Drosophila melanogaster: one gene and its partners. The gene in region 1 interacts genetically with each later gene. Each region holds a gene or a part of one and is shown on either strand. Other genes may lie near its edges.

Evidence for each region.
Region 2: of sqh (region 1) and Rok, changing one suppresses a phenotype caused by changing the other (phenotypic suppression), as found in Drosophila melanogaster (2 studies listed by BioGRID).
Region 3: of sqh (region 1) and AMPKalpha, changing one suppresses a phenotype caused by changing the other (phenotypic suppression), as found in Drosophila melanogaster (2 studies listed by BioGRID).

Annotation. Positions count from the first base shown.
Region 1 is NC_004354.4:6,221,520-6,228,889, reverse strand, and holds sqh (spaghetti squash), read left to right. Parts: upstream 1-3,749; 5' UTR 3,750-3,883; exon of another isoform or gene 3,884-4,193; intron 4,194-4,369; exon of another isoform or gene 4,370-4,479; intron 4,480-4,732; exon of another isoform or gene 4,733-4,773; 5' UTR 4,774-4,885; coding exon 4,886-5,305; intron 5,306-5,378; coding exon 5,379-5,483; 3' UTR 5,484-5,829; downstream 5,830-7,370. Other genes in the region: dtn (detonator), read right to left, coding at 11-411, 487-646, 708-913, 975-2,090, 2,158-2,450, 2,670-2,715; Efr (ER GDP-fucose transporter), read right to left, coding at 6,450-7,370. UniProt on the Drosophila melanogaster protein: Required for cytokinesis, could regulate contractile ring function.
Region 2 is NC_004354.4:16,632,676-16,640,201, forward strand, and holds the start of Rok (Rho kinase), read right to left. Parts: upstream 4,740-7,526; 5' UTR 3,753-4,739; intron 3,687-3,752; 5' UTR 3,609-3,686; coding exon 3,547-3,608; intron 2,993-3,546; exon of another isoform or gene 2,900-2,992; coding exon of another isoform or gene 2,865-2,899; intron 534-2,864; exon of another isoform or gene 449-533; intron 239-448; coding exon 93-238; exon of another isoform or gene 79-92; intron 27-78; coding exon 1-26. Other genes in the region: RpS19a (ribosomal protein S19a), read left to right, coding at 5,558-5,628, 5,731-6,130; SNRPG (small nuclear ribonucleoprotein G), read right to left, coding at 7,305-7,355, 7,418-7,526.
Region 3 is NC_004354.4:1,372,699-1,381,135, forward strand, and holds AMPKalpha (AMP-activated protein kinase alpha subunit), read left to right. Parts: upstream 1-2,837; 5' UTR 2,838-3,057; exon of another isoform or gene 3,058-3,171; 5' UTR 3,172-3,210; coding exon 3,211-3,489; intron 3,490-3,997; coding exon 3,998-5,467; 3' UTR 5,468-6,198; downstream 6,199-8,437. Other genes in the region: ssx (sister-of-Sex-lethal), read left to right, coding at 1-349, 460-653; CG3719 (uncharacterized protein), read right to left, coding at 6,378-6,674, 7,440-7,625.

The sequences.
Region 1 (7,370 bases):
GTTCACTCACCGCAAAGGAGTTTTGGAGCCATCGGTAAACTCCAGATCGATGTCAAGCAATCCCTCCTGGTACTGAGCAGTTAGCTTGTGTGTGACAGAAGTCTCCGCCAGGTAGCCGTTCTCAATCGTGTTGTCCGGACTGATGGTAAGCTGCAGACCCGAAATAACGCGCACGATGAGCTTGGAAAGGTTCACCTTGTCGCTGCCCACACGGATTTCCTTGGTGCCAATTACTCGACCCGTTATGGGTGACAGGACCTGGACATCGGTGCGTCCCATGGACTTGCCCTGCAGAATTCGACCCTTCAGAGATGCGATCTTGGGATCGGCCACACGGAGCAGCGGTTGCACCAGATCCGTCACTCTTAAGCCTGTACGCCGTGAGATAAAGTAGCTGGTGCGTCCAGAGTTCTGTTTCAAATGGATAAGAAGAGAAACATGGCTATATAATCACTTTTGACGCTTATGAAGCTCAGGAATTCCCACCTGGTCCACGGCCAGGAACTTGGCATACACCTCCACGGGACTTTGCTGGTAGCGAGCGCGACAAATCGTCTTGTCCGCTCCCAGATTGTTATAGTAGTTCGTTCCATGCTGACCCCAAACGTAGGATCTCTTCTTTCTTCGACGAGACTGCTTGTTGTGTCTGCCATGCAATGAATAAGAATGATAAGTAAGATATTCAAACTACAGGATAATAAACTTACAGATAGTGATTGTCATCGGTTACTTTCCATCCTTTGATTTGGGAGAGACGGAAATCGGATATGTAAACTTCCAGCGGAAACTCGGGCATCCAAACGATGAACTTGGCCACGCCCACATAGGTGCCATACTTGACAATGACCGAGGCATTGGATGAGCCGCGCTGCTCGGAGCCATCCACATAAACAGAGCTGCAGGAGGAGGAGACCTGAAAGAAGTTGATTGGTTATTTAGCTAGCAATTGCACGATTCACAGTCATCAGACGCACCTTGATTACACTTTCATCTTCGGCGTGACAGGAGCTCTGTAGCGTCACATCGGCCACCTTGCCTGCCTGCGAAACGATGAACACCTTCATCGCCTGGGCCACCTGTCTGCCCGTTAGCACCGCCGTGTTCATCACCTCCCAGATTTTGGCCATCGGTAGCACCGCCTGAATGTCATCCTTGTTGATCTCCAGCTTGGCAATTAGTCGCTTCTTGTTGTCATCGGGTATAACCAGTTCCCCGGAATCCTTGTCCTTTGGCGTGTCATAGACATGCGTCACGGACCACACAATCTTGCCACCGTCCACAATATCATTGGTGTCCTCGGCCACCTCGAGCAGCCATGAGAATACTTCAAACACCTCGCTGGTTAGGTTGCCACCACTTTCCAGACTGGATTCGGCCTCTTTGCGGAAAGCAGTAACGCGAGCGGTAGTGTGTTTGGGATTTTCCTTCTCTACAGAAACGCTCCATTGGTCTGTGGAGGCGGTGGCGCCCAGAATCTTTAAGCCCGCCTTAACACGAGCTCTCACAGTGAAGGCGGCCACCCGCTGATCGGGATATTGATGTAAAAAGACGGGCACATGTAGACGGGAGAGTGGATACAGCGGATGTTGTGGCAGGAGAAAGGTGACGGCATCATCGGCGCGCAACATACGATAGGGAGTCCTGGCGGCCAACAAAGGCACCTGGGCGAATGTGGTCAACGGTTGGATCTGCACCTTCGGCTCGCATTGCTCGGGATTACGCAAAGGCGGTTCAAAGACACTGTACGAGACCTGGGCATACCGCTGCGGTACTTTGGGTGGCGCCTGACCACTGCCATCTTGTGTGGGCGCCGGCAGCTGGGGCCACCAGCCCAGGGGCACGACCACTTCGGCTACGCAGACACCGTCCTCGCCCTCCGGCATGCAGCGTCCTTTGAGCGGCTGCTCCGAACCCATCGCCACGTGCAGGAGTACACAGACCTTCTGGCGCTGCAAATGACCACCCGGATCGGCTCCGGCGTGGAATAGTACCCGAAGCACGGGAGCATCCTGCGATACACTGGAGCGAACCAAATGGGCGGATATGTCCAGGTGCATATTTGGCTGCTGGAGCTCCAGTAGAGTGGCATTCTGTGGGAGAGAAAGTGGTATGACAAGGCGTCCTTTTGTTGCTTGCCAGGATTTGGGGATAACTCACGTTCATATAATCGCCCGACTGGCTGTCCATTGTGTCCGGCACAATGTAGCGGGCTGGCACCGTTTGTTTCGTGGAAAACGGTCCATAGCTGGCGCGTATGGACACCGGCTGCGTGGTCTCGACCACAGTGAATCTGTCCAGAGATAACACGGAATCATAGGAGGATCGTTGCCGTAACGGCGGCACCGCCGAGGATGTCTGCACATTGGCGATCTCCGGCGTCACAGGTGGTTGGCGGGCGTGCTTCAGAAAGAAGCCGCTGTCCGGCGCCTCGAAGTGCACCTCCACGGAGTCTGGCGAGGATTCGGCATGGATTTGTTATGGGTTGGGAGTAGATGAAGGAGTCAATTAGTTGAATTTTGGTAATGGTAACATAGGGGTTGGGGATTTTCTTAAACCCGGAGGTCACCCACTCCTCCTTTATCCCCCTCCCACTGGCTTACTCCCTCCTCCCACTCCATCGCTTTTTTTGTACCACCCCCCTGGGTTTGGAAACTTTATTTGATACTTACATGCCAACGACAGCTGCAAAGCAATTATGAGGCAGTATCTCATCATCTTGTTCGTGTGCAGGAATCCAAAATATATCGAAATCCTGAAATCCTGTGCCCACCCACTCGTTAATTTGCTAATTAACTGTGCCCGCACTTTCGTTATTTTCACTGTTCTCTCGCTTGTGTGGCTTATTTGACCGTTATTCCGTTAATCGTGCCAAAAGTCAACCGTTAATTCGCGCTGGCTAGCACTTTTCGTCCTTTTTTCTCGCTCAGCAATCCGCAGCACATCCTTTATTGATTCTTTCCAGTGTGCCCACACACCCACACACCAACACACACTCACACGCTGCTCACACACACAGCCGTGGGCCACCTCACACACAGATACACATGCACATGCAGGTATAGACACATCTTCTCCTGCAAATCGCGCAGTTCAGTTCGAAATTAATTGGACCGCAACCGTGCCAATCGATTCGATTTTTCACTCGACTCGCTTTTCACGCGCTGGCAAGGATCTGCTGGGCTGGAAAATCCCTCGTTCGACGCCCTAATGCATGCCTCTTTTCATTCAGGTCTCTCAGAATTTTACACAAATATCGAACATTCCAAACACTTTGCAGTGTGTCCATACCGTATTGAAAACAATATCCTAAGATAGTGGTACTACCGTATTTGGAAGTGCTGTAATATGGGGCTGCCAGACTGTGCGCATACTCCTGAAACTCCAATCAGAACGCGGGCAATTCAAAAAGTTAATACCAAAAAAAAAAAAATACCATGTTTGACAGTGAAGAATAAAGAAAAATAAAATTAATTGGGATTGCTTAAGAAAATTTTTTGAGAAACTTTAGATTCTACAAGAAAAGAGCTTCTTAGGAACGAATATTTTAAAACAAGATCTGGTAGCACAACTGACAATAGGTTTTTAGGATTCTAATAGCCATGGTCCTAGTCTCAGTAGTATTCACATTTGTAATATAATTTTATATTTTATAATATAATTTATAGTCTTAATATTTATTTATTTTAGGAGCTCCAACAATTAGCACTTTTGCACAGTAATTTTTAGCATATTCTGCGGTATTTTCTGATAAATTGAAACCGCCTCTATGCTGGTCACACTTGGCCTTCTCGTCGAACCGAAATTATAAAAGACAAAAGTGCAGCTGGTCGAAAGTTGCATTAACGAAACTTCGATAGTATTAAACACTCGGCATTCGGCAGCTGTGAGTATGAATCAAATCAGGCGTAATCAAGCAATCATATTCGATAAAATAAACGAACTGAACTCCCAAAGGGCGCTGCCCTATGTGAGTGTGCGTGTGTGTTAGTGTATGCGTATGAGTCAGCGTCGGCAGCGCGCAAATGAAAACAATTGTTTTTGTGCTATAATTCCATTTAAATGTCCATTCGAAAGTGATAAATCAACGAAGTCGCAAACATTTGGCCCAACTTGAGTTCTCGAGTGAATTTGGGTGCTTCAACTGCGGTTTTTTTCTGGCCTTTTAAGGCTTTAATTGAAATGCGTGTGCCAGTGTGTGTGAGAATGTTTTCAATGAGCCAAATACGTGTGCGATGTTGTTTTTGTTAACCGCAGTTCAACAGCATTGATAAACTCGCATACACATGCACGCACTGGCGCAGAGCGAGAGCGAAACTCCCATACGTGTCATTTTCGTTTGCGCGAGTGACTCAGAGAGCTGCGCATGTGTGCGTGCATGAGTCGTACTCACAGTGGGCGCCCGATAAGGTGGACTTGTAACTGTAGCGGAAGCATGGAGCCATCGAACTGCTTTTGCATTATCCTTTCTGGCCTAAAACTGTATTAAAACTATTTATTTATAAATATAATTTGTAGTTCGCCCATTTTAGGCAATGGCCAAACCTTCATTCCTTAAAAAACCTTAAAGAGCAGCAATAAGATGTTCTTTCCGTTGTGATAAGCATATGCATGGTGTACTCACTGTAGCGAGCGTCCACTGTATGTTGACACAGTTTGTTTGGGGAGCAATGAAAATCGGTTTCAGCGGAATTCGCTGCAATATGTCTATATATAGCCATAAATACATACCCGGCCAACGAAATGCTAATGTGAGTCGGCGTTTTTCGATTTCAGATCCACGCCGCACACACATCACTCCAGCGCGAAGCACTAGTGCCACCAGCTCCATAGGCCGGCTCCATTTAGCTCCATTAACCGCATCAGAACCACCAATCCAACAGCAACCATGTCATCCCGTAAGACCGCCGGACGTCGCGCCACCACCAAGAAGCGCGCCCAACGCGCCACCTCCAATGTGTTCGCCATGTTCGATCAGGCGCAGATTGCCGAGTTCAAGGAGGCATTCAACATGATCGACCAGAACCGTGATGGCTTCGTCGAGAAGGAGGATCTGCACGACATGCTGGCCTCGCTGGGCAAGAACCCAACGGACGACTATCTCGATGGCATGATGAACGAGGCGCCCGGGCCCATCAACTTCACCATGTTCCTCACGCTCTTCGGCGAGCGGCTGCAGGGCACCGATCCCGAGGATGTGATCAAGAACGCCTTCGGCTGCTTCGACGAGGAGAATATGGGCGTCCTGCCCGAGGATCGCCTGAGGGAGCTGCTGACCACCATGGGTGATCGGTTCACAGACGAGGATGTATGTTGTCAAGTTGTTTACGATATCAAGTCGGAGTGTGCCCTTACAACTTCTTTTCCATTTACATTCACAGGTGGACGAGATGTATCGGGAGGCGCCCATCAAAAACGGTCTGTTCGACTACCTCGAATTCACGCGCATCCTTAAGCACGGTGCCAAGGACAAGGATGAGCAGTAAGATCGCCAGCAGTCGATTCACTAGCCAGCTGCCTCTCCAATCAGCCTGTCCAAACTATCCATCATGAGTTTCGTTTTGATAATTTAATATATACAAGTATAAATATTTTTTTTTTTTGGTTTCGCGCCTTCTGTTCTTTGATTCCTGATAATCCTGTACTTATCCGTGCATTTGAATTAAACAAAAAGTAGCCAACACCAGCGATTGTTATGTACGACAGTGTAGTGTGTGAGATGTTGGTGCCAGATAACACGATTTCCCGAAAAACTCCTTTCATAAGTATTAACTCATTGAATATACATATATATTACCTATATACAAATACATACTTATACAAGAATGTGGCAATAAACCTTTGTTTTTCTTACACTCGAGAACGTGCGCACGTCCAACCAAACAGATGTCTGCAGAAATCCTTCAGCCAAAAGCAACTGATCAAACAAGGGAAACTTTGGAATATGTACCCCCCATGGCTAATTAAGCATGATCACTAGCACGATGTGATAAGTGTATGTAGCTTCAAATGTGGCGGGAAATTGAAAGAGATTTCGGAAATTAGTCAAAATTTTCTTGGAATCTTCGACAAGCTGACTAATGAGTTCATGTCCAAAAGACTCGAACTTGCAAACTCATATCTTATCTCACATTATTTTTGATTCGAAGATATTTCAGCTTCTGCAAATATATGTTTTTCAAGAATTTATTTAAAAAAAAATCAATTAAATAGATGGCTTAATGTTCGAAACACTCAACGTTGTATATTACACACTTTTTGGACAACTATTAATTTAAAAGAAAACACGAACATTTGAAAATCTAGAAAGACACGGACACAAGAATTACAAACCAGACAAAGAGGCGTCTAAACACTAGGCAAATTCTATGTACAAACAAGGCGCTACGACTACAAATTAATGGTTAATGGTTAATGGCCTCTGCAGCAGGAACCATCACAGCCCGCGAAGATTACTCCACCTTCTTGGCCAGCGGAGCGGTGTCGAAGTGGGTCTTCCGGCTCGACCTGGCCCGATAGGCGTCCCTCACCTGGTTGATCACATTGGCGAAGAGTATTGTGCCGAAGAATACCAGGATGGTGCCTACCCAATGGTTTAGGGTGAATGGATTCCGGAAATAAATGATCGAGAACAGCAGCGAGACGAACTTGCGCAGGGTGACCACCAGCGTTACGGTTAGCGATGCACATTCGGTGGTCAGAACGTAGACGGCACTGATGCATACATACTGGGTGACCACGTTGCACAGCAGATAGAACAACATCAGCGGGAATTTCCACTCCAGTCCAATGGCTCCCAGCAGTGGCACGGCCACTGGTTCCGATGACCATGCGATACCAAAGTGTTGGACTATATTGCCGGCCATGATCAGAAAACCGGGCAAAGGTAACATGTGCGTAAAGAATAAGGCCTCGCTGGGATGCTTGCCGTATTTCTTGTATATCACCTCCTGGTAGATGCCCATGTAGGCGGTGACCAGCAGGGCGATTGTCAGCAAGCCAATACCCACCGTCCACCAGAAGAAATCGGAGTAGGATGTATCCACCTTGAGGCTGTGATGTGTATTATCCTTGACATCGCCACTGGAGACCAGAGTGCACAATATAATGCCAGCCGTGATCATGGCCACGGAGCTGTACTGTCGCAGATTGTAGCGCTTCTTCAGCAGCACAATGCCCATGATCATGTTGGCCATCAGTGATCCGCTACGGAAGATCATGTGCAGCGGCATGGGTATGTTAAAGTTGAAGGCATAGTTATTGCAAACGTTCGCCCCAAAGAACAGGGCCACCAGGATGACGTAGTCCTTCAGCGCAATCTTCGGTCGCACCGTAAAGAACTTGGAGGTGAAGACCAGACCCTCCAGCGCGAT
Region 2 (7,526 bases), about 10 Mb from region 1:
ATTGATCTGCATTGCCAATGGTTTGTCTGCAAAACGAAGAAGTGAAAGTATAATAACCGATTATCATTGGGATAATAGACATAACCACTCACATTTGGCCGCATACTGCTCGATGTTCTTAAGCCGCCTCAGGGACTCGTGGTCACAATCGCTGACCAAGGCCGACACCGTGTCCAGCAGGCAGTCCACATTGCAGATGCTGGTCGGATCGCGCATCTCGCGCTCGAGCGTATTCGCCCTGGGAAAACGGAAATATGAAAAGAGAGATATAGTTAATATATGGTAAAGAGATATTGTAAATTAGAAGTGTTCCAATATACGAAATTAATCATCTGCTGTGTCTGAGTGTTTGATTGTTCAACTGGTTCCTCACCGCTTGGTCGTCATGCAAATCGCTCGCATAAACAAACAAACAAATAACGAACAAATCAAATAAAATGAAACTGGGAAAACGAGGAGGAACTATGAGGGAAAGTGCGCAGATTACTCATGGACGGGACGTGTAAACACCACTTTCCGGGTACACCCACCCCATCACCCAGGCAAACAGCTGCGGTCCAAGTAATGGCATTAATAGGTTCGCACATCGTTTCTAAATTTAAGATTTCCTATTATTAACGATTCAACGAATTCGAGTGGCCGTGAATTGGATATAAACATTATTATTGAAGGGAGGAGTTGCAGCCCATGATGGCGGGGCGGCAATTTACAGATCGAAATAAGTAATTCTAGATCAATTCGACAGTAGAGTACTTAAGTGCTAACACATTGACCGCAACTGTCTGCACAGCGACAGTGTAAACAAAAACAGCGACAGGCTTTCAGATCTTGGAATTGAAGTGGCGGTGAGTCAGTGGAGGAGCGGACAGACACCGAATGCCCCGGAGATTTGTCCCAATCGGGCGCTTTTTAGCGGCAGACAAATGGGCGGCACATGATACGGATACAGATGAAGGCGTTATCGCACTGGAAACACTAGCCACCATTGATAACCTGGCATAGGCATAGTCCAGCTAATGTTAGGGGAGTCCAAAGTGCCAAAGTAGTGGAGGAGGGGGCGAGGAGGGGCCTTGACTTTATCACCCCACGCTGTTGGCGACTCTGATAAAATGAAATGGAATGGAATGGAATGGAATGGAATATGCAATGCAATGAATGCAAGCCATGTGCAGGCCACTGACAGCAAACTTGCCGTTGATACGGCGCACTTGAGCAGTTGGAGCTGATACAATGATGAGCACACTGGAGGTTCTAACCGCCGTGCGAATGGAACCAACTGCCCACCTTGTTGGTGGACACACATCGGTACACAGATATCACAAGGAAAAATCAAGTTGTTATCTTTACAACTGATATAGAATTAATAATATTCGTGGAATATTAAATGGCTTGATTTTGATTCAGGCACAATGACTTTCATTTATACAAACATATTTATCAGGGGAGCCGGTTAATTTATGCATTTTCATGAATCAAATATTTACGTAACTATAGTATAGTAAAAAGCATAGTACGCTATATTATTTTATCAGTAAGTGCGGATTTTAAAATCTCAAAAAACAAAAACACTGCTCTGATTCACCAAGCGTTTCATTCTTTATAAATGATATTAAGAATATACAAATTGCTTATTTACTTTTGAATGTAAACAAAAAGGTAAGGTTCATTCTTCGGAGAGTGTATGTATGTACATAAATCATGGAAAATAAAATCTTGCGAATGTAAATATATAGAAAATTAATTATAACAATTAGGTATTTGCATACGAGGTTACTAGAGCATGGGAAAAGCGCTCTTTCAAATGGAATTTCTCGGCAAATTAAACTACATATTCGGCAAAGAATGAAACAATTAAATTTGGCCTGCCAGTGCGTTGGTTCTGAATTTCTAAATTTAAAGGCATTTTCCGGTCAAAAACTAATTCCCGTAACCAAGATTTATGTGCAATTAGCAAGATGCAAGATGTCGGAGATGCGGAGTCAGTCTGTCAGCGATTGGGAATCGAATTTCGGTGCCCAGCAAGCAAAAGTCAGACTCAGATGCAGGAGCAGGCAAACTGCGATGACAGTCGGCGCTAAAAATTGATACTAAAAGGTGTTTGAATTGTTGTGATTTCATCATCGCCACTTACGGCATGACAGAAAAGCCAAAAACAAAACGCTCAAGCAGCGGGTAATAGCAGCACACACACACACCATACACAAAAGCAAACAACTTGGGAAAGTGGAATTTTCAAAAATGCTGCGATGAATTTTCGTTGCCGCTGTTGATTTCGATTTGGCCAAAGCGGCAAAATGGCAACAACAACATAATTATGAGCAACATTATTGACAACAACAACGGCAATAATAATACATAATAACCAACGACGACGATGACGACGACGACGACAACATTATCGTCACCTATAGACAATATAATTTTCAACTTAATTTATACAACGTCGCCAAATTCGATCTGCCAGTTTTTACAAATTGAACGCTTCACATTCAACACACAGAGATAGAGAGTGGTACTGCATCTGCGTTGCAGAATCTCTTCACACCTTATTAATTCTAATTAATTATTTGCCCAGGCAGCACAAAGGAACTGTTCGGCTTTTATAACCAAATGCGCATTGCAATTGGCCATTGTTAGTACGCAAATGCCTTAACGTTTGCTTCGCTTATGACTGCTTACAGCAGATACCGAGTGGGGATGGGTAATTAAATTTAAGTATTTATATGCATACTCGACGCTGCGGAATTGCTGGGCAAATTGTATTCTCGGAATTTGGAATGCAAGCGAACCAGGACGACAACTGGTAGCTGAGAGCTGGATGCTGAATGCTGAATGCTAGGAGCGTGGAGATGAGAACAACGTACCGTTCCGGCTCGCACGAATGGAGGGCGGCGGGCATTAGCCATGTCCCCATGCCCTATACCGTCTACTGTCCAATGGAAGAAACCGGCGTGGTGCTGGCTATCTATTCTACCTTTTTGGCCCAAAACGATGCAAACGATGCAGCCGATGCAACGCGACGCCTGCAACTGACAAACGGCGGCATCAGCCACTGTGCGTTCGTTTTAGTTCGCTTTTCGTTTTCGTTTTGGTTTTTTTTCTTTTTGGTTTGGTTACAAATTTTAATGCGAAAATGGCAAATTTATTATAAAGTCGCCCCCCGTTTTGTTCACTCGCTTGTCAATTTGATTGCCGCGCTGTCGCTTTGAACATGAGATATGGAAGGTGTTTGCCAGCGGTGTATTACTTTTTGATTTGTTTTGGCCAGGCCCGTTTGGCTTGCGCTGAATTGTGCTAGCTGGCTAGTTGGCTGGTTAGGTGGTTAGCTGGTTAGCTGCTTAGCTGCCTGCTTGGCTTGGTCAGTTGAACAAATCACAAATCTGTCTGTACAAATCGCACGTATCTGTGCGATGGCTACTGCCACTTCTACTTCTACTTCGACTTCTACTATTGCTATTGCTGCTGCTGCTGCTGCTGATGCTGCCATTCAGGTGACAATTAATTGAGTGGAGCAGTCGCTTTTGGGCCGCCATCTCGTGCACTCACCGGCGCCTTCGTTCCACATCCATGCTGCGCTGCTTGGTCACAGTTTCTCGTCCAGCTGGCATGCAAATGCAAGATAACAAGCTGATACTGCTGCTCCAGCTGCTGCTTCCTGTTGGTCAACTGCTGCTCCTGTGCTGCAACTGAAAGCGAAGCAAGGGTTTAACAGAGTTCTCTTCGGGGTACACATATTTATATTGTACATTTACCTGCCAGGAGTTGTTGGACGTCTGTCTATGCTGGGAATGCTAATAGTAATGAGGAGAGGAGGCACGCGTCAAGCGCTAGTTGTTTGCTGTTTGCTGGCGATGAGGTCACGAGTGTTTCGTTGGATTTCTGGCTAACTGCTGCCACTGAACGCCAATCGAATACGGATGGGGATGGGAATGGGAATGGGTATGGGTATGGGGATTGGGCACTTGGCGCTGGCTTCTTTTGGTGGAGTGCCGCCAACGCCACATGCGGACGCAGCCGAGCACCCGGGCGTTCCCAGGTGCGTTTCCCACACGGCAGGCAGGTGTGCTATCGATTCCCGGAAAATGCTATCAATCTAGTTTACTTCCTGTGCAAATGGGATCGTAATGACCAGGATGATCACGTTGACCACGATGGATTGTTGGGTAAACAAGGGAACGGGGATTATTGTCCGCAGTCCGCTTGGCATGCAACAGTTGTGTCAACACTTGTGGCCAAAAACCTGGCCAAAATGTGTCGAATGCGGCGGATTGGTGGTGTTGAAGGTGGGCTTTTGTTTCTCGGCCTTTTGAGTTGTTGGTTTTTGTGTGCCCCAATCAAGTAGCTTTTTCCTTCTTCTATTTTTTTGTTAATTCCAACGATACCTCTGTGCACACACACTTACACGAGCGCACGCACACCAGTGCACTGCGAACGGCGAACGTAGCAAGCGCTACAACAACAATAACAAGGCGCTTCACAGACACACACACACGCGCGCACACACCGATGTGCGTCACACCGACGTACTGTCCGTCGGCAGCGGGGGAAACGCACGGGGGGGCGGGACGGGACGGGGGCGGCTGACCGCCCAAATTGCGAATGTCCAGTTTCGGCCGCGGCCAAATAGATCAATTTGGTTTCAATTAGACGCTGCGCGTTGCACTTATTTTATTTCGGCTCGGTGCTGGTAGAGATGGCAATTGTGTTTACATATCGAAGTTGAAGTATCGAAGTCACTAGGCGCCGATGAAAATACCAGAATATACCAGGGCCAACAGGTGGCGCTCCAAATGGCGATGGTGCTGCGGCAATATCGGTTGTCTGCGTCATCGATGGGCCGCTTGTTATTCGATAGACTCAGAAACTAGCTTCATGAATAGTTATGTAAATCGGTTGCTAACAAAATAAAAAGCAGTTATTTATGAATAAAGTGATACAGCAAAATATGAATTGTACTACGCATTCTTTGCCCACATTGAAAATATACTAATACGAAAATGCATGTTTAGACAAGGTCTTCAAATGCCAAGTAATATATAATATAATCTTGGTGTGCTCATTAATTTAAATATTTTTAAAAATAACTATAAATTGAACACATACGTGTTAGAGTATCATTAACCGAATCTTCGATAGTTCGCCGCGCCGGCATTCGATTAATCGATACTATTGCTGGTGGCAGGCCCAGCACTATTAACCGCAGCCAACTTCACGCGCCTTGTTCTTTTTTCCGGTTGACTTTAACGAGAAAGGTTGTGCACGAATTCTTTTCAAGTGAATTATCTTTTTTTTTATGTTTTGAATGGGTGAAATTCAATGAAAGAGCCCACGCCAAGTGGCAAATGACACAATGGGCCGGCCGTAAACACGAAAGGACAGCTTTTTTCGGGTTAAAACTTCGGCTGGCAATTTTTTGTTGTGCCCGTGCATGTGTGTGTGCGAGGGAGAGAGAGAGAGAGAAAGAGTGTGTCTGTGAGAGAATCGTGGAAATCGCGACAACGTGTTTTTGGCAGCATTGTAATAGATTCCCCATTTGTTTTTCCCGTTCTGCCCGCAGATGCCAGGCGTCACAGTGAAGGATATTGACCAGCACGCGGTTACCAAGGCGGTCGCCGTCTTCTTGAAGAAGTGAGTACTGAACATCAAGTATATTTCCACCACATAACCTCACAATCCATTTGTTTATCCCCCCCCAAAAAAAAAAAAAAAAACACGAAAAAAACCAAATAGGACTGGCAAGTTGAAGGTGCCCGACCAGATGGACATCGTCAAGACCGCCAAATTCAAGGAGCTGGCGCCCTACGATCCCGACTGGTTCTATGTGCGTTGCGCCTCGATCCTGCGCCATCTGTACCACCGCAGTCCCGCTGGAGTCGGTTCGATCACCAAGATCTACGGCGGACGCAAGCGCAACGGTGTCCACCCCTCGCACTTCTGCCGCGCCGCCGACGGTGCTGCCCGCAAGGCTCTGCAGGCCTTGGAGCACGCCCGTTTGGTCGAGAAGCACCCGGACGGTGGTCGCAAACTGAGCTCCATTGGACAGCGTGATCTGGACCGTATTGCTAACCAGATCGTGTTCAAGCAGCGCGATGCCGCCAAGCAGACCGGGCCCATTGTTATTTCCAAGTAATCACACGGCGCCCCTTCGAATTCTAAAAAACGCATTTTTAGACTTCTATTGTAAGCGCTTTTTGTTTGCACGAGAGAGATGAGAAAATAAAACCAACCACAATTTGTAAAAGTCTACGAAACATGCGTTCTTCGAATGCTAGAAACATTTTTTATGCGGTCTGTAAACAGGGGAATAGAATAGCTCCTCTTGGCAATGTAAAAAAGTGGTAGATTTATCAGGATGCTGCTCATATTAGTAATATGCATGTGCGAAGAACAATGTGGACAACAGCTACATTTGGCGTAATTAACTAGCCAATTTATACTTTTACCGAGCCTTCACATTGTTAATGGCTTTCCTTCTATTGCTAAACTATCAGTATCAGTTTGGTATTCTGCCCTTAGAAGGTGCATAGTTTCATTAACAATCCATGTGCTAAGTGGTTGCTTGCCTTGCAGAAATAAACATTTTATATCTATACACACTGCTCATGTGCGACAGCATAGTTCATTGAAATTTAGTCATGCGGACTTGGTAAGGTTAATCTTTAGATTTAAATCATTCCCTTTTTGGTGAAATGGTGGAGCTGCCTTGCTTCAATATATATTGTGTCTTGTTTTCTATTCCATTTCGACAAATAAAATCTGCGGATAAAGAACTTTCTGATATACTTGAAGTAAACTTCTTGCATTGATTGAAGACTAAAAAGACGTAGCCTTTTATTTTGTCGATCGAACATTGTTATACAAATTCAAAAGGAGATGGCCAAAATCTTTCAACAAGTAAGGCACTAATAGCCGAAAATAAGTTAAATTAACAAAGAAATCAAGAAGCCAAGCATTTGTATAAAATCAAAGGCACAAAAATTGATTTGGAAACCAATTATGTGTAAAGCTATCTGTGTTTGCATTTCTTGGAAAATACATTTGCTAGTCTTGGCGACGTCATTTAAAGTGGCAATCTTCCGACTCAAGTTCCCAATGCAGTAAATCCACAAAGTACGCAATATTATTAAATATTTTCGACTTATTTTCCAAACTGCTCATATAAATTGTCAGTTCAAAAAGGGGTATCTTTGTTATAGAATTTATTCAAGAGTTTGTGTGTTTCTTCTGACTATGAATGTTACGGAGCCTTAAGACTAAGCACTACGGCTAACGATGCTCGACGAGATCGGGTTCCGAGGCGGGTGCTAGACCCTGTCCAGGGCCTCCACCATGACGATGCTGTTGCCGCGGATAACCTGGCCAGGTGGGAAAAACGAGTGAGTCGATAGTTTATGGCAGGGTATGCTGCGCATCTTACCACCATGCCGATGTTGTTCTTCGTGTTGTCCTTGCACTCCTCCACCGTGTCGTCCAGGACCACGTTCATGAAGGGATCGAAGCCTCGCAAAATACCGGTCACCGCGCGT
Region 3 (8,437 bases), 4.8 Mb from region 1:
CACCACAATCCGCATATGCCGCCGCATCATCATCAGCCGCAGCATCCACACCAGCATCCGCAGCACCATCCGCAGCTGCACCACATGCAGCACCACCATCCCAACAACCACAACAACAATCACCCCAACAACCACCATCATAACAACAACAACAACAACCACCACAACATGGGCGGCCCGCATCCGCACCACATGCAGCAAATGCACCCGATGGGCATGAACATGGGCATGGGCGTAAACATGGGAATGGGCATGGGCATGGGCATGCCCATTCACGGAGGCGGCGGTGGTGGTGGTGGCGGCGGCGGTGGAGGCGGTGGTGGTAACTTCCACCACATGGCGCACAGAGGTAGATCAAATAGAACAACACGATCTCAAAAACCGCATCCATATAACCATGCACAGAAATTTATTTAAACGCCATTAATTTCTTTACACGATATTAGCTGCATCTCACAGGTGAAGTGTTCATGCTGCCATTGCCGATTTGCAGCCGATTCCCCAGCCAGCCGCATCCCGTAGGCAATGGCATTTGCCACAGCCCCAACAAGAACAGCAGATTCCGTTTAAGCCGCCGCCCGCAAGCCTCCAGAACAACCATCAGATATATTGCGCATTCGGTGGCAGATCCCGTTCCCACTCCGACTACCTAGTGCCGCTCTACTTTCCAGCCCCCGCCCATCCATCAGTTGTTTCCATCTCCTCGCCAGCTGCGTCACTTTCGGCCTACCCAGCTGTTTTGGCCGTGTATGTTCCGGTATATGTCACGGTTCCGGTCTCTCTTCCTGTTACCATGAACAGAGCCAGTCCACAAGCTTAAAGTGAGTGCAGACGGAGGCGGCGGAGGCGGTGGCCACATGGTAGAAGCGAGTAGAAATAGATTGAGTGCAATCGGAGGAGGGAAGAGGAGATATTACCCAGAAGCGATATCCAATAGTAGCCAACTCTCTCGCTCTCTATGTGTATGTATGTATCTTGCTATCCATATATGTATATCCATATCAGAGAGCCAGGATTGGTTGAGACCATACGATATAACCCGAAACCACACTGGCCAGGAATAGCAAATCCAAGCATTGGCAGCAAGAGGCAAAGCAAAGGTGCACGGCAGACATAGGCAGTACCACAAGAACACTATCACAGAATTAAGCAGAGCAAATTAAAGATGCATAGCGTGTATTAAGATGTACGAAATAATGTTCCAAAGTTAACCAGCCTACACAATCCCCAACAACACACACACACACACACATAAAGACGGTCGGAGTCGAATCCTTGATCGAACCACATAAGAAAAAATTCCAATGAGTTTGTATGAGCAACATACAAAGCCCCAAACGCAAACCATCAGCCACTCAAGACGAGACGAGAACGCAACCAAAACTCAAATATAACTTTCCTGCACTCATCTCCAGTTCACGAAACAATCTTCGCTCTTGGTGGATTGCGAATTGTAAATGAATTGAGTAACTGCACGGATGCAAAGCCCCAAGATGTGGCGACTATTCCGGCCGGACACTGTGAGACGGACGTTACACACACGGATATATAGAGAGACGAACCTTATGACAACAGACAGAAGACGCTTGCTCTGAATAGATGGTTAATTTGTAGACTTATAAGGAACGTCGACAGCGAGGGTTCGTTCGCGTCACTTGCTTTTTACTACATTATAAATAAATTATTGATGTACTACCAACAAACCAAGAACAAGAACACCACACTATACAAACACCTATATATTAGATAATATATATGAATGATGTATAAATACCCGAACTTCGGGTAAACTTCCAACAGAAACCCGACAAGAAGATGGCTGAATATGAAATAAACTTGAAATTTTCCAACCAGCATACCCGTGAGACCCAGAGGTCCGAAATTTTTTTTTTTTAGTATTGATAATCTCTAAACGTAAATCCTAGTCTCGTAGCAATATCATAGTTAAGGTGACTTTTTTTTCAGAATAAACTTAAAGCACGAAAGAAATACATGTATTTAAACCTTAAATCCTAAAGTTTATAATAAACGAACACAAATTGAATTCTTGAGTCTGCGAGCGAGATGGTGCGATGCAGCCTCAGCGAAAGAGAGCGAGAGAGATGATACAGATTTGAGGTACAGTCAGCACAGTACAGTGCGGATCAGAGCTTAAGTTGACGATATACTATTGTTGTAAATTGATGTTAGGCTAAGCAAATAAATAGTTAAAATGTTCAATTTTCGCTTAGCTGAATCCTGATCGTCGTAAAAACGCATTTACACGAACATTATATACTAGTCATTAAGCGGTTCTATTTGACAGGTGAAAACAAGAAGCTGTGGCAGCCTTTTACTACAGAAACTAAAAAAGAAAAATACAAAGCTTGACATATACACGCATATTTGTGAACAAACTGAATTTTACCATACATCTTTGAGAATTTTAGGACAGTATTCTTGATAATCTATATTGAATGTTGATCTACACTTAACGTTGCACAAAAGAGGTATCTTTCTGACCTTCTATGCGCGTGGAGTGGATCCAAAAAATCAACTTGGTGTAATAAATGTGTATTTAAATCACAAAACGGGCATCTTTTCCCTTTCAATTGGACATCAGAGAGTTTCGACAACGCACACCTACTAGTTTTTTTGCGAGCTTAACTATTTCAAATGTGGTTGAGTAAAGCCATTAATATTGCTTTTTATAAATTCAGCATAAGTGGCAAGATGGTTTTAAATTGCGCGCCACTGCGGAACTACCTGGCATCACTGGCCGCCACTTATCGATAGCCACTGGAAGGCGAGAGAGAGAGAGAAAGAGAGGGCGCGAATCAGCTGCTGGAACGAGTGTTGTTGGAAGGCAGTGTTGTTGGAAGTGGCAGCGCCTTCCAATGTCAATTAAATAAGCAAAACGCGAAGAAAACCCAAGCGTAAAGGAGAGTCTCGTTGCCGCGCTCGAATAGAAATCCAGGAAATCAGTATCAATTCAACCGCCCTTGACACATCCACAACCACTTTGACATCCGAATCCGTATCCGGGCGAGGTGGCACGGCTGGCAGGAAGAACGTAACGTGAGTGGCTGCTCTATTCTATTCTATTCTGTTGATTCAGCGGAGTACACTACGCAATAACCGATAACGACCTTACCACCGCTCCCCTCTCCGCGCCCATCCGCAGCGGAGCAGTGGAGCACCCCCAGTCCAACAAGGAGCTACCTGCTCGAGATGCCCCAGATGAGGGCTGCGGCCGCTGAGGCGGTGGCCGCCGGCAGCGCCAATGGCCAGCCGCTGGTCAAGATTGGGCACTACCTACTGGGCGCAACCCTGGGAACGGGAACCTTCGGCAAGGTGAAGATCGGCGAGCACCAGATCACACGCGTCAAGGTGGCCGTCAAGATACTCAATCGTCAGAAGATCAAAAGCCTGGACGTCGTGGGCAAGATCCGGCGTGAGATCCAGAACCTAAAGCTCTTCCGCCATCCGCACATCATCAAGTTGTACCAGGTGAGTTCATGGCTCCAAGCTTAGACTTTCTAAGTCCAAGCTTTCCAGGAAACTGGGTTACTGGTTTCCTCTTCCAATTACGCTGGCCAGCTACTAATAACAAACAATCAAGCCGCAGTTTAATAAACAAAAAGGCAGGATATGCCCGAAGGGGGAATAGCTTTTCTATAACAACATTTTGGAGGTTTGTTTATCTATAAAGTACACGGTCATGCCTAGTCATCCGAATTTTGTTGCGGAAGGCAAATGCATATCTAGAAACTGGGCCACTGGCTAGACATTCGCAACAGACATAGAAGCCCAACTTAAATGAGCAAAAAGTTTGGAAGGAAAGTTTATAAAAGGAATATGTACGGGGTCTGCTTTGGTTTTACAAGCACATTTTCCCTCGATTTTCGGATTGGATCAGTTACCAATTAGGTTAGGCAGGGCTTGGGGGAACCTAGGGACGGCTGCAGTCATCAGCTGATATAAACGTGCTTGCTAACCTTTCCGTAACTCTCCGAAGGTCATATCGACGCCGTCGGACATCTTCATGATCATGGAGTACGTGAGCGGCGGGGAGCTGTTCGACTATATTGTGAAGCACGGCAAGCTGCAGGAGCACCAAGCGCGCCGCTTTTTTCAGCAGATTATCTCTGGCGTGGACTATTGCCACCGGCACATGATCGTGCATCGAGACCTGAAGCCAGAGAACCTGCTGCTCGACCACAACATGCACGTGAAGATCGCCGACTTTGGGCTCTCGAACATGATGCTGGACGGCGAGTTCCTGCGCACCTCGTGCGGCTCGCCCAACTACGCGGCGCCCGAGGTGATTTCCGGCAAGCTGTACGCCGGTCCCGAGGTGGACATCTGGTCGTGCGGCGTCATCCTGTACGCCCTGCTGTGCGGGACGCTGCCCTTTGACGACGAGCATGTGCCTACGCTGTTTCGCAAGATCAAGTCGGGCATTTTCCCCATTCCCGAGTACCTCAACAAACAAGTGGTCAATCTGGTCTGTCAGATGCTGCAAGTGGACCCGCTCAAGCGGGCCAACATCGAGGAAATCAAGAAGCACGAGTGGTTCCAAAAGGACCTCCCGGCCTACCTCTTCCCCTCGTCCATCGAGCAGGACTCCAATGTGATCGACACCTACGCTGTGGCAGAGGTCTGCACCAAGTTCGGCGTCAAGGAGACCGAGGTGCACAACTCGCTGCTCAGCGGCGATCCGCACGATCAGCTGGCCATCGCTTACCATCTGATCATCGACAACAAACGCTTCGCCGACGACGCGGCCAACCAAATAAACGAGATCAACAACTTCTTTGTGGCCGGCTCTCCACCACCGCCGCCGCCTCCGCCCGTTCCCCAATCATCGATGGACCACCAAGCCCCTCTGGCCACCGTGACCGTTGGCGGAGGTACCTCAGCCAGCTCGGGCACCGCCACACCAGTGCCACCAGTGGCTGGAGGCACGCCTAGCAGCACCATACCCATTCGACCGCATCCGGAGCGGATTGCGCCGATGCGGGACCGTCAACTGGCCATGTCCGTGCAGACATCTGGCGGCGGAGCCTTCCCGGAGAAAACCGCACGTGGCGGCACTCCCATCAAGCGCGCCAAGTGGCATCTGGGCATCCGGTCGCAGAGCAAGCCCAACGACATAATGCTCGAGGTATACCGAGCGATGAAGGCACTCAGCTACGAGTGGAAGATCATCAATCCGTACCACGTTCGGGTGCGCAGGCAGAACGTGAAGACCGGCAAGTTCTCGAAGATGTCACTGCAGCTGTACCAGGTGGACGCCAAGAGCTATCTGCTCGACTTCAAGTCGCTGACCAACGACGAGGTCGAGCAGGGCGACGACGTCATCATGGAGAGCCTTACTCCGCCGCCGCTTAGCGTGTCCGGGGTGATGCCGCTGCAGCCGACCGGCCACCACACCATGGAGTTTTTCGAAATGTGCGCCGCCCTGATCATTCAACTGGCTCGCTAAGGATGAGGTGACCGCCATCGGCCGCAGCGGACCGGATGGGATCTTCTCGGCTGGCGATCCGCACTCGGACAGTCCTGAGGATTGACCATTACCCGGAAGACACAGTCCCACAAAGGAAAGCTGGGGGGAGTTTCGGGCTCCGCGGATCCCGGAGTCTGGCCTTAACCACATGACTAAGTTCTTGCATTCGTCCCAAACCCTTTTGATTTTAATCGGAAACCCAATGTGCAATTATCGGTAGCAGGATTTGGGAATAGATTTTAAAAATGGCCTGCTACTAGACGACGAACAAGAGCTTGGGACTCCGACTCCAGCTTTTCTTTGTGCGGCTGTGTAATCCACATAAAATGTTATTGAACTCGGACACCGCCAACCGCCGTTGCCGCTACGCTACCGTTACCCGCTTTGCCGTATCGATTTCCGCTTCCGGTTAGTCTAAGTCTGTAGGTTCCGCCCGGTCGGCGGGCTTCGATCCGTTTCTGTTCTGTTCTGTTTCTATTTCGATTTATGTTTATAAGCAAGTTGAGTTATTATCCAAACCGCATGTGCACGTGGATGTATTTGTATTATGCCTAACGAATTGTAATTGGAACCTCGTCTGGGGAAGCTGTCAGATAACAACCAGATGTGGACCAAGTTTTATGTATCTGTATCTGAACCAACCAAACAATAAAGCGATCCATTAATATTCTAAATCGATTGTGGACGAAGTGTGAATTAAGAGTAGCCATAATTAAAGTTAGTTTTATTGCATATTAAGGTATGTTGTGCACATTCTTTCAGCATCGATGATTGCAAATTCTGCCTCGGCATTGGGCTTCATATCGCAGTTCCAGTCTCCCGTTTCGTGTGTAAAATCATAGCATCCCTGATCTAATCCACCTGTGCATCGCATCGCCGCTCCAGCTCACTACTGCTTCTGCTGTTGCTTCCGCTTCAGTTTGTCGATTAGGGTCTCGATGCTGTTGGCGTCGACCAGACCAATGAACTTGTCCACTACGACGCCGTTCCTGAAGGCCAGAACAGCGGGCACGGCCTTCACCTCGAAGGTCTCGACGAGATCCAGGTTCGTCTCCACATCGATGACCGCCAGGTCGATCTCGTTCGAGTTCTCAAGCAGCTCGAGCATCTTGGGCGTGAGTATCTTACAGGGGTCGCACCACTCGGCGTGGAAGTTCACGATCACCGGGTTGTCGCTGTTGATCACCTGCGGAACAAGGCATAATACATAGGTGGTGGTTGAACAGACTTTAAAATTGGAGTGCTTTGCTCGGAACTAACAAAACACCTCATTGTCATCCCCATAACGTCACCACAACGTCGAGTATGCCAGATTATGCCACTTATAGGCATAACGTCATAGCTAAAAAGGGGAGATGGACCTGCGGCTGCCGGGGTGACTATCGAGATTGATTTGCGGCAGAATACTGCAGTTTTCATATAGTGAGTGATTCATACAATTGTAGCCAGTGTCTGCTATATTAGTAGTTTTAAATTCCGTCTACTCTGAGATTGCGGGGTGGTCACTTGGGAGGCTACAAAATGTGTGTGTGTGTGTGACTCACGTTTCTCTTATCTCGCCTAATCCAACTGCAATTGATAACTCGGCCATGGAGCGATATGCTGAAGGGTCTTCTGCAGCTGGCTCCCGTTTCTTCGCGGACGCAGCGGCTGGCTGAAAGGGGTTTAAACCGGTATCCAATGTTTTGGGGCTCATTTGCATACACGAGCACAGGCCGAAAACAAAATTGAAAACAGAACTGAGGCGAGTGTGCGCACACATATGTTTGTATCTATGGACGGGTCCACGGCCAAGTACGTCATGGGGTGGATTCGTCCCCTTCCCCTGCCTGCACCCCTTGCTCCTCCCAAGTATCCCAAACCCAAGCACGTAGGCCAGCGCACAAGGTCATCGTTGCCTGCTGCCGTTCCTGGCCATCGCAACCCGTTTCGTTGCATAATCCTGACTCACCTTCTGATCGAACTCGTAGTGGTCTTTGATGACCAGCATTTTGTGGAGGTGCTGCGACTGCGACAGGTACTTCTGGGTGCCCCTGGCCGCCTGGGGCGCCATTCTTTGGCCTCTGCTCTTCGCTCCAATGGAGCAACAGGCCGCCGCCAGACGTGGCGCGATTCCCTCGGCGGCGATCTTCAGCATTGCGGATTGCGGAAATTCAGTACGGGGGCGGATGGGTATGCGGATTCGGATGCGTAACACAGGCACTCTCGCAGCGATTAGATATCTGGCAGGGTCTCGGATGTCCAACTGGTTGTTCCGTACGTGATGTGTATGCGTTTAATGTTTGTTTATAAACTCTGGGCCAGCGCTGCACAACACTGCCACTGGCTCGGCGTTGCCACCTCGCGGGCACTGAAACCACTTGGAAATCAACTTTTCTTGTATGACAGTTCGAAGACTCGAATTGTGTTAAAATATTGCGCTAATAAGAGGATTATTTGCGCGCCAGGGATCCAGTGTAAGCGTATCTTATCTTATTCTTCAACTTTGTATGTGAGTATGTCATGTGGTGAGCTTTGCGTCTATTCCAATTCCTTGCCTTAAATAATGTTTATTTTTATCCCTGTGCCTGAACGTTATCCCTGTCTTCTGCAGCGAAGAACGTTTCCAGCAACGGCACTCCGTACTCGAAGCAGATGAGCCCAACCGTTTGAATTTGGCGCCCTGCTCTCCCCTCTCTTTTCACGCTCTCTGGCACGGGAATTTCGCTGCTCGCAACAACAAAATCTGACATTTGACGTCGCGCGTTCGCTTCGCCCGTTTCAGCAGCGTTGCCGCCGAAAGCAGAGTGTTGTTGTTGCCGTTGCCGTTGCGTCGTGTTGCGTTGCGTTGTTGTTTGCCGTGCCGATTTTATTGTTATTTGAAATCGGTCGCGGAGCGTGCGGTGCGGAGCAGTGCTCCTTTTTTTTTCTACTTTTTGTTTAGTTCCGGGTCAGGGGGCGGTAAGTCGA